3 linked regions of the Drosophila melanogaster genome follow. Changing the gene in region 1 together with any one later gene gives a genetic interaction. Each region holds a gene or a part of one and is shown in the gene's direction. Other genes may lie near its edges.

Evidence for each region. A genetic interaction does not mean that the proteins touch.
Region 2: of His1:CG31617 (region 1) and lok, changing one suppresses a phenotype caused by changing the other (phenotypic suppression), as found in Drosophila melanogaster (one study listed by BioGRID).
Region 3: of His1:CG31617 (region 1) and mei-41, changing one suppresses a phenotype caused by changing the other (phenotypic suppression), as found in Drosophila melanogaster (one study listed by BioGRID).

What each region holds. Positions count from the first base shown.
Region 1 is NT_033779.5:21,418,690-21,423,397, forward strand, and holds His1:CG31617 (histone H1), read left to right. Parts: upstream 1-3,165; 5' UTR 3,166-3,324; coding exon 3,325-4,095; 3' UTR 4,096-4,188; downstream 4,189-4,708. Other genes in the region: His4:CG33909 (histone H4), read right to left, coding at 887-1,198; His3:CG33803 (histone H3), read left to right, coding at 1,497-1,907; His2B:CG17949 (histone H2B), read right to left, coding at 4,502-4,708. UniProt on the Drosophila melanogaster protein: Histones H1 are necessary for the condensation of nucleosome chains into higher-order structures.
Region 2 is NT_033779.5:20,059,868-20,065,561, forward strand, and holds lok (loki), read left to right. Parts: upstream 1-1,554; 5' UTR 1,555-1,853; exon of another isoform or gene 1,854-1,914; 5' UTR 1,915-2,009; coding exon 2,010-2,196; intron 2,197-2,280; coding exon 2,281-2,438; intron 2,439-2,677; coding exon 2,678-2,786; intron 2,787-2,866; coding exon 2,867-3,304; coding exon of another isoform or gene 3,305-3,318; exon of another isoform or gene 3,319-3,451; intron 3,452-3,510; coding exon 3,511-3,745; intron 3,746-3,804; coding exon 3,805-4,108; 3' UTR 4,109-4,514; downstream 4,515-5,694. Other genes in the region: barr (barren), read right to left, coding at 1-485, 545-856; vls (valois), read right to left, coding at 4,519-4,705, 4,758-5,134, 5,192-5,694. UniProt on the Drosophila melanogaster protein: May have a role in germline establishment.
Region 3 is NC_004354.4:16,389,904-16,395,377, forward strand, and holds the start of mei-41 (meiotic 41), read left to right. Parts: upstream 1-1,794; 5' UTR 1,795-1,857; coding exon 1,858-2,084; intron 2,085-2,143; coding exon 2,144-4,355; intron 4,356-4,412; coding exon 4,413-4,706; intron 4,707-4,780; coding exon 4,781-5,474. Other genes in the region: TH1, read right to left, coding at 43-489, 560-1,272, 1,389-1,451. UniProt on the Drosophila melanogaster protein: Serine/threonine protein kinase which activates checkpoint signaling upon genotoxic stresses such as ionizing radiation (IR), ultraviolet light (UV), or DNA replication stalling, thereby acting as a DNA damage sensor.

The sequences.
Region 1 (4,708 bases):
CAATTCACTTATCGTAATGTGGGCCCGAACGCGTTCACGTTTATACTTTTTTTCGAGCAGTCAATTCAGGTCTAAGTCACCCACCCCTAACTGAATGCGCAGGCAAACGGAAAAGTATAAATATTTCGCTGTCTGGGTTAGGCGAGCATTCGTGTTCCGTGCGTAAAGTGAACTAAGTGAAATAAACGCAAAGCAAAATGTCTGGACGTGGAAAAGGTGGCAAAGTGAAGGGAAAGGCAAAGTCCCGCTCAAACCGTGCCGGTTTAGAATTATTCCGCGTCATCTGCAACTGGCCATCCGCAACGACGAGGAGTTAAACAAGCTGCTCTCCGGCGTCACAATTGCACAAGGTGGCGTGTTGCCTAATATACAGGCTGTTCTGTTGCCCAAGAAGACCGAGAAGAAGGCCTAAACGTTTCAAAGGCTAAGCTAAAAACCTACATGTACATAAAATCGTCAATCAAACCGTCCTTTTCAGGACGACCAAATTATTACCAAAGAATTGAAAAATTTTTTAGCTTGGCAATTTGTTGTAATTAGTAAATCATAAAGAATTATTAACGTAAAGATGGTAATGTAGTAAGGGTTTTCTACTATATGCGGTATAAACTATAATTTGCTTCTTTAAACAATCGCACACCACGATGTGATGCTGTACATGCGGTGTCTGAAACCATTTGTACAGTCTGTACAAATCCATGTTAGAAATACACATTCTATTTGAAAGAGTACGAACAACAGACATTTATTTTTAGTTTAACATATTTTTTGGGAGTCCCGACCAATAAAATTAAATACTTTTTGAAAATCTTCCTCCTTTTAAAAACTGAATGGTGGTCCTGAAAAGGACCGATTGCTTAATAGGGGTACACAGGATGTACACTTTTTAACCGCCAAATCCGTAGAGGGTGCGGCCTTGCCTCTTCAGAGCGTACACAACATCCATGGCTGTAACTGTCTTCCTCTTGGCGTGTTCCGTGTAGGTCACGGCATCACGAATTACGTTCTCCAAGAAAACCTTCAGAACGCCACGCGTTTCCTCGTATATGAGTCCAGATATGCGCTTCACACCGCCTCGACGGGCCAAACGGCGGATAGCAGGCTTCGTGATACCTTGGATGTTATCACGCAGCACTTTGCGATGACGCTTGGCGCCACCCTTTCCCAAGCCTTTGCCTCCTTTACCACGACCAGTCATTTTTCACTGTTCTATACTATTATACACGCACAGCACGAAAGTCACTAAAGAACTAATTTCAACGTTTCTGTGTGCCCCTATTTATAGGTAAAACGACAAAAACCCGAGAGAGTACGAACGATATGTTCGTTCGCTTTTCGCTCGTCAAATGAAATGGCCTCCGTTTTTCTCTCTCTCTCTCTCTCTCTCTTTCACCGTCCACGATTGCTATATAAGTAGGTAGCAAATGCTCTGATCGTTTATTGTGTTTTCAAACGTGAAGTAGTGAACGTGAACTTTAGTGAAACCCAAATCGGAGATGGCTCGTACCAAGCAAACTGCTCGCAAATCGACTGGTGGAAAGGCGCCACGCAAACAACTGGCTACTAAGGCCGCTCGCAAGAGTGCTCCAGCCACCGGAGGTGTGAAGAAGCCCCACCGCTATCGCCCTGGAACCGTGGCCTTGCGTGAAATTCGTCGCTACCAAAAGAGCACCGAGCTTCTAATCCGCAAGCTGCCTTTCCAGCGTCTGGTGCGTGAAATCGCTCAGGACTTTAAGACGGACTTGCGATTCCAGAGCTCGGCGGTTATGGCTCTGCAGGAAGCTAGCGAAGCCTACCTGGTTGGTCTCTTCGAAGATACCAACTTGTGTGCCATTCATGCCAAGCGTGTCACCATAATGCCCAAAGACATCCAGTTAGCGCGACGCATTCGCGGCGAGCGTGCTTAAGCTGACACGGCATTAACTTGCAGATAAAGCGCTAGCGTACTCTATAATCGGTCCTTTTCAGGACCACAAACCAGATTCAATGAGATAAAATTTTCTGTTGCCGACTATTTATAACTTTAAAAAAAAAATAAGAACAAAATTCATATTCTATTATTTATGGCGCAAACGGTACTGGGTCTTAAATCATATGTAAAAATACTAATTCTGCCAGAGAAGGAATAAAAATAATCTTATTTTAATTGTAAGCTCGACATTTATTAAATTAAAGAAGAGGTTAATAAATATAAAATATATATAAAAATATATATTTTTATTTGTTCTTTGTGCGAACATCCTTTAAAGCAGTGAAAGTGTCGTGCGGGGAAAGGGACTCTGAACCTTAAACATCTAAAAAAAAATCTGAATTCTGTGTAAGACAGTTTGAAATTAATGAAATTACATTGATGACGGCAATATTTATAAAATAACAGAAAATAATAAAATAAAACTAGCTATTTTATATTTTTTCCATGTGTTAACTGAAGAATGTGTTATTATTGAAGAGGTCGTACGGGACAATTGACACTGTCCCTTCAAACGTCTGTAAAAAATAAAACCTATGTAAAATTCAGCACGGAAATTGGCTAATTTTGTTGCGGAATGTAATATATATTACATAATAAAGGATAATACAAAAATTGTTTCTTTTTATTTTTTATTTGATTTATTTATTTGACTACATAGACGGTAATGCATATGTGGCGAGGAAATCGATTGATTTCAGAACAAATTATTTTAAAATATGCATGAAAACACATTAATAACAAGCAAACACATTAATAATTTAAGAAAATATTATTTATTATATTAATATTATGTTATTTAAGAAAGTATCTGTATTTTTAACGATCGAAAATTATTTCTGAATGCTGCTTTAAAGCAAATTTTTCTGTAGTTCAATGTGAACTTAAATCAAGTAATAAAGTATCTTAATTAATAATAGACGCTTCTTTCAGAAGCCCTTCTAGGGGATGAACGTTTCAATTTTAATAAACATTACGAATTAGTGAAATATTTGCAATGATTCTTATTTTATTAGATGTTTTTTTATAAATTGGTCCAGTTAAAAATTTGAATATAAAAATTCAATCAACATTTGAAAGTCTCAAAACCCATATTACATCCTTTTAAAAATGGAAAGTGACGAAAAAATTATTTAAAAGTGTAGAACTATTAAAACCTTATTTTTATTAATGATTTAAAATACTAAAAAATTAAAAAAAGTTTACACTTCAAGCAAACTTCGACATAGTAAATGACTGATGTCAGTAGCATTGTTAAAGTGCTCTCCTCCTCGATTCTCATCAGAGCAAAGGAGGTTGGTAGGCAGCGCGCGAGCCATTTTTAACAGAAAAAAAGTGTTCTCAGTGAAAAAAAGATGTCTGATTCTGCAGTTGCAACGTCCGCTTCCCCAGTGGCTGCCCCACCAGCGACAGTTGAGAAGAAAGTGGTCCAAAAAAAGGCATCTGGATCTGCTGGCACAAAGGCAAAGAAAGCCTCTGCGACGCCGTCACATCCGCCAACTCAGCAAATGGTGGACGCTTCCATTAAAAATTTAAAGGAACGTGGCGGTTCATCACTTCTGGCAATCAAAAAATATATCACTGCCACTTATAAATGCGACGCCCAAAAGTTAGCGCCATTCATCAAGAAGTACTTAAAATCGGCCGTGGTCAATGGAAAGCTTATCCAAACTAAGGGAAAGGGTGCATCTGGATCTTTCAAACTGTCGGCCTCTGCCAAGAAGGAAAAGGATCCGAAGGCAAAGTCGAAGGTTTTGTCTGCTGAGAAAAAAGTTCAAAGCAAGAAGGTAGCCTCTAAGAAGATTGGTGTCTCCTCTAAAAAAACTGCCGTTGGGGCTGCTGACAAAAAGCCCAAAGCTAAGAAGGCTGTGGCTACCAAAAAGACTGCCGAAAATAAGAAAACTGAGAAGGCAAAAGCCAAGGATGCCAAGAAAACTGGAATCATAAAGTCGAAGCCCGCCGCAACAAAGGCGAAAGTGACTGCAGCGAAGCCAAAGGCTGTAGTAGCGAAAGCGTCAAAGGCAAAGCCAGCGGTGTCTGCAAAACCCAAAAAGACGGTGAAGAAAGCATCGGTTTCTGCTACCGCCAAGAAGCCGAAAGCGAAGACTACGGCTGCCAAAAAGTAAATTGTGAAAAAGTGCAGTATTTGGTACATGTTCGCAATTAAAATTTTAGATTTATGATTTATAGATCTGAAATTTGTTTAAACAAGTCCTTTTCAGGGCTACAACGTTCCGTTGCAAGAGAAAAAAACTTTTATTTTCTTCCACTTATTTATTAGCTGACGTTCGCAGCAACAATAAAACGTTTCATGTCATGAATTACATTGCATGTTGGTCGCATTCAGTTTTCGTTCCCGATTTTTTTGTATTTATTTGAACATTACCCAATTACCCATATTGCGGGTAAATAAGTTTTATTTGTAAATTCATATTCGATGATTGGTAGTTGAAAAATGCATTTCTTTGGTATAACACATTGTGGCCTTGAAAAGGGCCGTTTTGGATTATTGTCCGCATTCGCAGGAGAAAATTATTTAGAGCTGGTGTACTTGGTGACAGCCTTGGTTCCCTCACTGACAGCATGCTTGGCCAACTCTCCAGGCAAAAGCAGGCGAACAGCCGTTTGGATCTCCCGACTGGTGATGGTCGAGCGCTTGTTGTAGTGAGCTAGACGAGACGCTTCGGCAGCAATTCGCTCGAAAATATCATTTACAAAGCTGTTCATTATGCTCATCGC
Region 2 (5,694 bases), 1.4 Mb from region 1:
TCCATTTCTGCATTGAGTGTAGTGTGGTCCTGGACCTCCTCGGTGGACTCTTCGCTGTTCCAAAAATTGTAGGTGGTACGCAAGCGCAATTCAGAGTCGAAACTAGGAAGAATGTTGTGCATCAGACGATTGGAAGCATTTATAGAGCCCACAGTGGAGTTCAGCTTGCCAAACACAGGATCCTGCAAGGGAGCCGTATCCAGCCGGCTGTTCAGCGTTTCTCTGTTTTTGGTCACGGTGGATATGGGTTTCTTTTGCCGTTTGGGCTTCGGTGCTGCTTCTTTTGCTGCCTGTTGCGCTGAGTCCTGACCCTCGCCAGTAGCCTGTTCACCTTGGGGGCCATCATCATCCTCGGCAGCATTTATTTGCTTATCCGTAAGAGTTCGTGCACTCAAGCCAGCTGAAATGCGCATGGCGTCCAAGTAGATGGAGTCCACACGCAGGCCGTAAACCTTGGAAGAGGCTTCTAAAGAGGAACCAGCCATCTAGGGTATAACATCATGAAATTATTACATTTACATAAACTGAATGAGGCAAAACCCACCTTGAAGTTGCTCATGCGCTTGTGATGGTGATCCAGCAAATTGGCCAACGAATCGATGAGCATCAGGTTCCAGGCGTTGTCCTTGCTCACCTTGTTGCCATTGTAGAGCTCCAAGCAATTTTTGATGGTCTCATTGTCCTCGATGGACTCCAGAGTGCTCGACCGGTGATGCTGCTGAAGGAGCGTGCGACGTCGGGCTTCCCGCCTTTCCGCCTCGTCGTCGTTAAAGGGGGTTAGCATGCGGGACACCCCCTCCTGGTAACTGCCTACTGCGGACCGCCTGAGCGGAGTTTCTAAGCGGGGCAGAGTCATCCTTTCAAGGAAGTGGATAAATCAGAGATGAAGTCAGAGAACAGCACAAGGAATTTTGGTTGCCGTAGGCTGATGGTTTTGGAGAGTGTTAATAAGCACACTCACTTTTAATAATAGCTGTGATCCCAATTCGACAGTTTTGAATTTTTTGTTTTTTGATGATTTGTTGATTGTATTTTGTCTATTTCTGTTTTTGCGCTGGTATTGGTAATAGTTTACAGTTTCTTTCAAACGACGCCGCAATTTAGGGCTGCATTTCAGTGTTGGTTAAAACTAAAGGTGTGCCAAGCTAGCTAGATAATATGGACAGGAAAATCGCTAAAGAATTAGCTATAAAGTATTGCGGAATATAATTAACTAGTATAAACATGATACATAATTTTATCATATGAGAAAAATGAAATAAACAAACTTAATTTACACCTTAAAGCTTCGAAATCGAATAAAAACACGATAGCTTACAATGGAATTTCTTTAAGTTCAGGGCTGCACAGGTCCTGCCAGTGCTGAATGGATTTCAACAATGGATGGCCGTTAAATTTCAAATACATGTACCATATTAAAGAAACTACGATCTGTAAAGGAATTAATCTGTTTCAATACTTTTAGTTTTTTATATAATTTTCAGTCCGGTAGTTAATTAGTATTTTTTCTTTTGACAATAAAGTCTTAACCTAAGCAATATTTAATTTGTAAAAACCCTTAATTTTTCCTTGGGACTCTTGCCAACACTGGCGCTGATAATCACCCCATCCCTGGAAGGCGGCAACTTTTACACACACTGCCGCAGAAATTGTAGTCCCTCGCGCAGTTCACATCGAACCAATGTCGTGATTTTTGTTAGTTTTCGTTGTTTTCGTCTGATAAACTCTAAATAACTATCAGCCAGCGCTGTGCGAAAAGCTCGATGTAATCGAATTGGGCAGAAGAAACGCTCAGAGATTCAAACCCATAGCTTCTATAGATCTATAGCTTTTCCGAAGATCGGACTCCTCGTGTATGTGTGCATTTCTGCCTGTGGTAGTGCTGGAGTAACTGGACATTTCGAATTTACGCAGTTCCAGGCAAACCTAACGGGTTTTCCAGTTCGACTTGCGGAATAGCAGGAATACGAGATTACGGGGCTACGGAGTTTCGGAGTTTTGGAATCACTATGGCACGCGACACACAAGGAACGCAGGGAACCCAGAGTCAGGCCTCCAATATCTGGACGCAGGTGGAGAGCCAGCCGATGGAGAAGATAGTCTGGGGTCGATTGTACGGCAAGAACATTAAGATCAAATCGCTGGGTACGAGTTCAAAATACCGAATCATTTATACGCATTCGTCCTTTTCTGTTGGTAACCACATTTCCTCCTGTTTTGTGTCCCCATTGCGTGTGCTCCTCATGTATTAATGACGATCCCATGCTGAACTGTTTGCAGATCTCAACAACGACGAGTTCACCGCAGGACGAGGGGAGGCCAACGACTTGATCCTCACGCTCAACGATTTGCCCGAGAAAATCCTGACGCGCATTTCCAAAGTGCATTTTATCATAAAGCGGGCAAACTGCGAACTTACCAATCCAGTTTATATTCAGGTAGGTGGAAGTTCCAAACCCAAAAGCTCTGAAGGAAGCCTTGAAAAAAAAGATAGCAAATTCAGAACCCACAAGAGCAGAATTCAAATTAAGTTTTATTTATGTTTTGTTGAGATTATCAAAAAAGGTAACTTCAATATTGAATATTTCCCACAATTAATTTACAAAAAGAAGTTACTATTCCGTATAATTCCGTATATTATTAAAATGTAGTAACCTTGTTTCCGCCCATTTCGCAGGATCTCTCACGCAACGGGACGTTTGTGAATAACGAGAAAATTGGCACAAACAGGATGCGAATCCTAAAGAATGACGACGTAATTTCCCTGTCCCACCCAACGTACAAAGGTAAGCGATCGACAAGCAGGTATAGCTATCGACAAGGACTCGCAAGTAATTTGATGTTTTGCACCTGCCCTCCCTTGTAGCCTTTGTATTCAAGGATCTCAGCCCGAATGAGTCGATCGGGCTTCCCGAGGAGATTAACAAGACGTATTATGTAAATCGCAAGCTGGGATCTGGAGCGTACGGACTGGTGCGTTTGGTCTATGACACCCGCACCTGCCAGCAGTTTGCGATGAAAATCGTTAAGAAGAATATGCTCTCTGGGGCGCGACCCAGTACCAATTTCAGTGATCCCGACCGGGTGCTGAACGAAGCCAAGATTATGAAGAATCTTTCACATCCGTGCGTGGTTCGCATGCACGACATCGTGGACAAGCCGGATTCTGTGTATATGGTGCTGGAGTTTATGCGCGGCGGCGACCTGCTTAACCGGATCATCAGCAACAAACTACTTAGCGAGGACATCTCGAAGCTTTACTTTTACCAAATGTGCCATGCCGTCAAGTACCTACACGATCGGGGTAAAACAAATTAGTTTTATTTGGGTTCGAATGTGTTGCTGATTAAGCAAGCCGTTCATTTCTGTTATGCAAATAAGTAAGTCTTCGGAATGGTCATTGAAAACGCCCTTAATTGCAAATCATTCCTGCGCCTTTACGAATTTGCTAGTACGACTACTGCGAACACATCAATCGAATTATTCAACTAACTAGTTTCTACCTTTCAGGCATCACCCATCGTGACCTTAAGCCTGACAATGTTTTGCTGGAGACCAATGACGAGGAGACCCTACTGAAGGTCTCCGATTTCGGGCTGAGTAAGTTTGTGCAGAAGGACTCGGTTATGCGCACGCTCTGTGGCACACCTCTCTACGTGGCCCCTGAGGTGCTGATTACCGGCGGCCGAGAAGCCTACACCAAGAAAGTGGACATTTGGAGCTTGGGAGTGGTGCTATTTACTTGGTAAGTCATTATGTTATTCTCCTACGAAGATAACTTAGCAATATACTCATATCTTGCAGCCTGAGTGGCACTCTGCCCTTTTCGGACGAGTACGGCACCCCGGCGGCCCAGCAAATAAAGAAGGGCAGATTCGCGTATGGACACCCTTCTTGGAAGAGTGTCTCGCAGCGCGCCAAGCTGCTGATCAACCAAATGCTCATTGTGGATCCCGAGAGGCGACCCTCAATCGACGACGTTTTGCAGAGCAGCTGGCTGCGCGATGCGCCCATGCTGCAGAAGGCGAAGAGGCTGATGAAGCTCGATGGCATGGAAATCGAGGAGGAGAACTTCCTTGAGCCACCCACCAAGCGATCGCGACGCTAGGTTTCGTTTCTGTGTTTCCATCGTTAATACGTGAGGGTCGAGGCGCGAAAAGGTTTTAATTTTCTGGAAAAATTAAGCGACAACATTTTTCCCAAAACGCCGACACCGCCGCATCCGAGTGTATTGGCGAATTTAAGTATTTTTTGCGGTTGTTAATTTTTACGTGTTGTCTAGTGTAAGTTTCATCGCCCAAGCCCGGTTTATCCTGTTAAACTGCATTTAAACTGGGCTGCTGCTTCACAATTTTTTTAAGATTCCTATCGATTTGAATTCTGCCATTTCATTGGACTATTATTACGATTTATTACTTGTAACTGTTCAGTAACTATAAGTGTTAAATGTAAGAATGACTCTTCAGCAAACCATTCCGCTTTTTGAAATAAAGCAATTGAATTTGTTCGGCAGCAAAATTATTTGATAGCGTGCGTCACCATTTTGCGGCCATGTCCAATGGTGATGAGGGTGCTATCATCGGTCCAAACGGCATCAGTTAGGCGAGAATGGGTGTCCTGGTGCGTGTAGATGAACTCATGGCCCGCCTGCACATTGGCCACTTTCACGGAGGCGGGCAAATTGCTCATCGCAGCCAGATGGGGCCTGAAAATATGTGCGTTAATGCAAATCGTCATTGTTTCGCTTAAACTTGTACCCATTGATTAATAACTGGGCGACATGGCCCTTGTCGAAGTATTCCCTGGTTTCCGCCAGTTTTCGTGGCACTCGAATGTCCAGAGTATGAACTTTGCCGTCATAGTCCCCGAGATAGATGTGATTGTCACCCTGCAGCTCCGAGGCAGCTGCCCAGGCGGCACTGGTGAAGCTCAGCACGTGGCTGGCATCCGCATAGAGGCACGTGGAAGATGGAGCCGCTGCCCGGACATCCCAAAGGCGGGCACAGCCGCCACGATCACAGGTCACAAATTTATCGACTGAAGCTGCGGGTGTGGCCAGGCCAGTCAACTTGTCGGTATGCGAGGAGCGCGATCTGTAGGTGCTCACCATATCGGCGCCCGAGAGATCCCAGACCTGCAAAAGGGTAACATTTGTATATTTTCCATACATCCACATCACCTTTATACATACATTGAGGGTACTGTCCGCTGAGCCCGAAACGGCAGTGCGGGGATCCGCCTTGAAGACGCTCAGTTGGCTGATGGGTGTGGGATGCGCACTGGACTCGCCCACGAGGAAGAGGCAGTATGGCGACTGAGAATCTCGCACCTTGGAGTATGTGGACCAGGCCTGGAGTCGGGTATCCCCAAGGGCCACCAGTAGGAAATCATCCTCAGCGTAGCGCACAATGTTCACCGTGTGCTCCGCCTGCAGCTTGAAGTTCGCCGAGTCCACGCTCATATGGTGCATCTGGTCGCGTCCGTAGCCGAACAACATGCCCCACCATTGGCGTCCTTCGCGTCGGTTTGTGGCCAGGGCCAGGTGGTTGTGATCATTGATAGCGATGCTGTCCCAGCAGTCGTGCAGTCGCGGCGAAAGGTTTTCCAATCGCGCGTTTAGGTCCGCAATGTTGAGGTTCGGGTACTCCAGATTCCCGGCCAGCTCCAGTGCCGGCGGAGGCTGGTGGGTCACCG
Region 3 (5,474 bases), on another chromosome or scaffold:
AAGGGAAACCAATAATTTTTTGATATACATCGGTCGCCTTACTTGATGCAATTATACAGCGTTTGCAACTCGGCGATTAGCTCGGTGGATCCCTGGTCCACATTACAAATGGTGTGTGCCTTTTCGATAGCCTGAATGGTGCTCTTTAGCTCCTCCTTGTTTAGCATGCGCTCAGTCATTGGTCGCTTTTTGGCCGGCTGGTCGATGACCGCGGACGCGTAGGCTAGCAGAAACATATACTTCGGTTTGTGCTCGGGATTGATTTTAACGCCGGAACGAAAGAGCGCGTCTACCAGTAGCTCCAGAAACTGGGGGTTTCGTATCAAGTCGATGGGCGGTGGATCGGAACCGGAGTAGTTGCGAAACAGCACGGTGATATCGGCGGGATTCAGTGTATTGCGGGTGAGCATGGAAGTTAGGGCTTGACATGCTTGCGGATAGACTGCCGAACCATTCAGGGCCATTGTAATAGGCGTTACATTTTGATTGCTAAACAATGAAGCAAAAGAAAGGATTTATGTTATGACTAACTATGTGGAATCGTCAGTTATTTTCATACTTCTGCAGGGCGTATTTAATAATTTCCTGAGAGAGCCGCTTCATGTTGAACCCACCCTTCTGCTCCTGGCTGAGGACCTGGATGAGCACCTGGGAGTATACGTAAGTGTGCTGGCCATGGCAGACCATTCGTGCGCACTCCTGAATGGCACCGTGCACATCATCCGGATTGTTTAGAAATTTGACGATCGAGGTCTTTAGAACCCGCGAGAAAACCTCAATCTGCTGTGCCGCTGTCGAAATGGAAGTGATCTCGCTCTGGAAGCCCGCGTCCGAGATCAACTTGATTGTAAAGTTCAGCATTAGACAATCGGGATATTCTTCGGCCAGTCGGTAGATTAGCGAGCGCCACGTATAGTGGTCGATCATCTCGGTTAGCCAGTCGGGCGTCTCACCCTCCTCCGTGAATATGGTGTCCGCCTTCTTGGGATCGAAGGACTTAAGAATCATTTCCTTGAGATGATTCTCCACCATGGCCTGGACTTCGGTAACCTTGACGCCCGCCAGGATGAGCCATTCCGCAAGCAGGTTGGCCATCTGGGCCACCGCCTTGTAGTTCTCGGATAGCATCGATATAACCTCCTCCGGAGATCCGCCCGACTGAAAGTAGCGCTTCAGCTGCGTAAATATCCCCGGCTCCATGATGTAGTCCGGTGTGAGGAACTTCTCCAGGCATTCCTGTATCGTCTTCTGCGGATTGTCCTCAAGCGTTTCCTTCGATTGGGATGGGATAACATGATGTTTAGTTGTTATTTTTTATGGTTTATCTAGTAGCGTCATCAAATTGCCGGGATTGCCTGCCACGCCGTACACGCTCTATACTCAATTACCTCCGGATTGGTTTGTCCTTTGGCGCGGCCCTGCCAACCAGAGTCGTCGTATTCCACTTCCATTTTTTCTCAAAAACTTATTTACAATAACATAAAAATATTTTTCTTATTTTGATTAACTATGCATTTTTAGTGTGACTGTAAATTGTTAACCACGACGCGCACACCTACGCGGGTTATGCGCCGTTTACACTTAGCAAACTCTTCTGTTAATTTCATATTATGCAATGTAAATCTTAAATTTGAGGAGAAAAAGAAAATTGTCAATAAGTGTAAAACGCGGTAATGTAAACATATATTAACTAATTTTTTTTTAAATTAATATATGTAAAATCGCAGTTGGAACGTGGCTGTTATTCAAGAAAAAGAAGAAGAAGCTGCCAAACATATCGATAGCCACAAGTGCGGCGAATGCCGGCTTTCGTAAACAAAGGTCGCGTTTTTGCGAGTTTTAAATAAACTTGGCAAAATGTCGACACAACGGAAGGATATGTGGAAGTTGCTTTACAACCACGTAAACCGGAACGTAAGCAACTTTTCCGGCGTGTACAGCGTTATAGAAGACATATTGTGCCAGGAGCCGAGTCTGATAAGCTGTTCGTTGGTGCGGGAGCTGCACAACAAATTCCAGGACACATTCCTACTCTGGCTGCTCAACAAGCTGGCCAAGTGCCTTAGTGAATCTCCAGATAGCAGGTAAGATGAGCCACAAGCATTGGACTCCAAACTTATGACACACCGTTTTTCTGCTGCAGCGAGTGCATCAATCTTCAAAGGAAAATACTGAGCTCCTGCTGTTCCAATCATCCTAAGCTTTTTGAACGCCTTGTACTGGCCTATGTGGAAGCCATTGAGGAGACGCACCTTCAGCTAAGTTCCCTGGACCTCGGCCAATTGAGTAATGAGCGAAAACCCGCCATAACTGTAAGAATATTCCGATGCGATGTGGAATGCCTGCAGGAGTTCGATCCGCACTGCGCTATCGAGGACATCAAGGTGCCCCTTGAGCAAGCCGACATGTATGCCAAGAGCCTGCTGGAGGTCCTCCAGCATGCCCATCACATTGGATACGCCACGCACGGCGACATCTTCTCGGGCAGCCTTCATCAGGCTCTGCTAATCCTCAAGGAGTGCGACATGGACACAAAACTGGCCAGCTTGAATTACTGTCACAATGTCCTACGATCACAGTCGGCCAGCAGCTGGATAACAAATCCGGACGTTGGACATTATGCGCAATTAACGTTGGAGGCGACGGCAATCATGTGGTCGGCAGTAGCCAAGTGGCTGGACATGGGATGTATGACGCGCCAGGAGCTAAAACGGCTCAATATAACAACAAAGCTACTGCTAGAAGTTCTGCATATGCGTGCACGTCCAGCCCACCATCTTGGCTACCTGCTTTTGAACGAGATCCTTAGTTTGCCGACAGCCATTGAATTGGACGATGGACTGCTGGAGACCCTAAGTTCCTATATTCAAGGCCAGCTAGAGCATTCGGTTGTACCATTGGAGCAACTGGTGCACTTGCAGCAGCTTATGTTAAGCCATTGGCACTGCCACCCCACACATTTGGTGCCCATATTGGCGCTAATGGGCTTGAAACAGACTGAGATGCGCTCAGGAGTGGTCCAAGTGCTTACCCAAAGTCTCGTTGAAATCTTGAAGAAGGAAGAAGTATTGTCGAAGGATTGGCAGAAACTGATTGCTATTTTACGAGGCTTCAAGCAGCTGGAGAAACTAATTCTGTCACAGAGTCAGCATAAAATAGCTGAGCACGAAGGTCACATCGATTCCTCAGTTCTGGCCATGTTACCGCTGCAGTGTGAAATCATAAAGGTTGCGGATACCAATTGGAATAACCTTTCAATGCAGCTGGTTGAGCTGGAATCAAAGTGTTCCGCAGACCGAAGACACATACACTTGGAAATCTGCTCCCTTTTGATGCAAATCACCTTCATCCGGCACTTTTTAAAGACTCAAACGCAACACCAGCTGCTGGCCATTCTTCAGCGACATTTGAAGCTGTCCTACCTTTGCGCCATTCGCTTGGAGACACCTTCTAGTGTTCATACCCAAATGCAAAGCTTCTATGCCCAGCAGTACATGAGGCTATTTCAATCCGAGGAGACACAGGAGATATTCTGTAGCAACCTTCCGCAGTTGTACATATCGGGTTTCATAAAGCCGGAGCAACTGATGAAAGCTCTGCCCACCATTAACAATCGTAGTGGCCGCGCTCAAGTTATACGCCTATTGCTCTGCTCCCAGCCAGGTAAATTGAGTGTCTTTAAAGTCAAAGATCGCATTGAGCTATACTGCCCGAAATGCAGGCCACTGCCAAAGAAACTGCCAGGTATTTACCTCGGAAAATGCAAGCAACAGCTGCCATGTCCAGACTTTTCAAGCACCAACCTCGAAATGATAGCAAATGATTTATTGTTTTATCCCGATTTTGAATGTATTGCCCAGCATCTGGACCTTCTGTGCTTTGAACCCAATGTGATTCTTGGCCTGCTAAGAGAAACGGAGGCACTGCAAAAGGTTAGCGTTAAGGTTATCGGCCAGCTGGTCTCTGCGATGCGTGTGCGTTCGCCAGAATTCTTGGAGCAATTAGCCAATCTTGTTCTAGCTGCTATAAAAGCAATGCTAGCAAAGCCACTGACAGAGCAAAATGTGCTGCAGCAAAGAAGTATGCTCAACGTACTGACCGCCATTGCGCACATGGAGGATAATGAAATCTGGCTCTTTCACTGGTTCAAAATGACATTCTTCTTTCTGGTGCACACTCGCTCACTGGTGGCGCAAGAAGCTGTGCTGGCGGCCACCGAGATGTGTGCCAGCCAGGGTCTGCAGACGATTCATCTGTGGAACTGGTACAAGCGAGATGCTCTCGACCTCACCGTTCGCCTGGCTTTGAACGTTTATCTTTTGGATGGCGTACGCTTCACCCGATCCCTCCGAGCGGTGCGTAAATAGACGAACTTTTCTTCACTTCCCAAAATTTGACCGGTCTGTTTGCAGCTTACGAAAATGTTGGGATTCACGTGCGTTCAGGAGTTCACCTGCAAGTATCATCGCCTTCTGACTGCCATGGTCCTGCCGCATTGCATCGTGAATCCGCTTTGCAAGGGAGTTTTGGTATTGATAGCCAAACAAATGCAGAAACACATTGGCACCTTGTTCTCCATCTCGTTCCTGCGGATCTACACACACGTCTTCCTGACCGAGGAACCGGAGTTGGCCAATAGTTGCATCGAGCTGGTGGTCAGTTGCACCCAGTCCAGCCTGCAACAGCTAATGAATGCGGATGTCAAGGTGGGCAGAAGTTAATTTATATTTTATTATTTTATCTTTTATTTTATTTTATTTGATTTGGTTATCACTTGTAGCAAACGGTGGCCGAGTTGCTTATATATTTCAACCGAAACCCCACATTCGTGATGCGATCCTTTCAAAGCCTCTTGCAGTTATCAATCGGTTCCTTGGAGGAGTTGTCAAGTCAAACGGCGAATGCAGAGTTTGCGAATTTCATTGCTGAGCGTTTCCTCGGTGTGATCACCTACTTCGAGAGCTGCCTAAGTGAACCGTCTTTTGAGAAGCCATTGAAGGAGGAGACTTTGTACAGTTTGGGCCAGATTATGCGATTTGTGGGCTCCCAGCATGTCACCCAGTTTCGCTTCAAAATCATTGCCATGCTGAGTTTCGTTCACACATTGCAGGAGCCTCGTCTCCAGCGAATTTGCCTAAAGATTTGGCACATATTTCTGCATGTTGTAAATGTGCAGGAGCTGGGACCCTCTCTGGGAAGAATCGTGGCCACCTTGCAGCCTCTGCTGGCGGACAACGAGAGCGTTAAGCAGGTCAATGATCTGTACGAGTTCATAATTCTACGCAACGCCTCCATGCTGGGCACCTTTATAACAGATCTGTACTTTCTAGATCGCATGGAGAATGTTTCGCCTTCGATTCAAAAATGCATCAGAAGGCATACAGCCCATCTGGACCTTAAGGGATTGGCGGAGGAGGAGAATCAATCGCCACCATTGGTCGACCAGTTGCGTTTCCTGCAAAAGCACATAACCG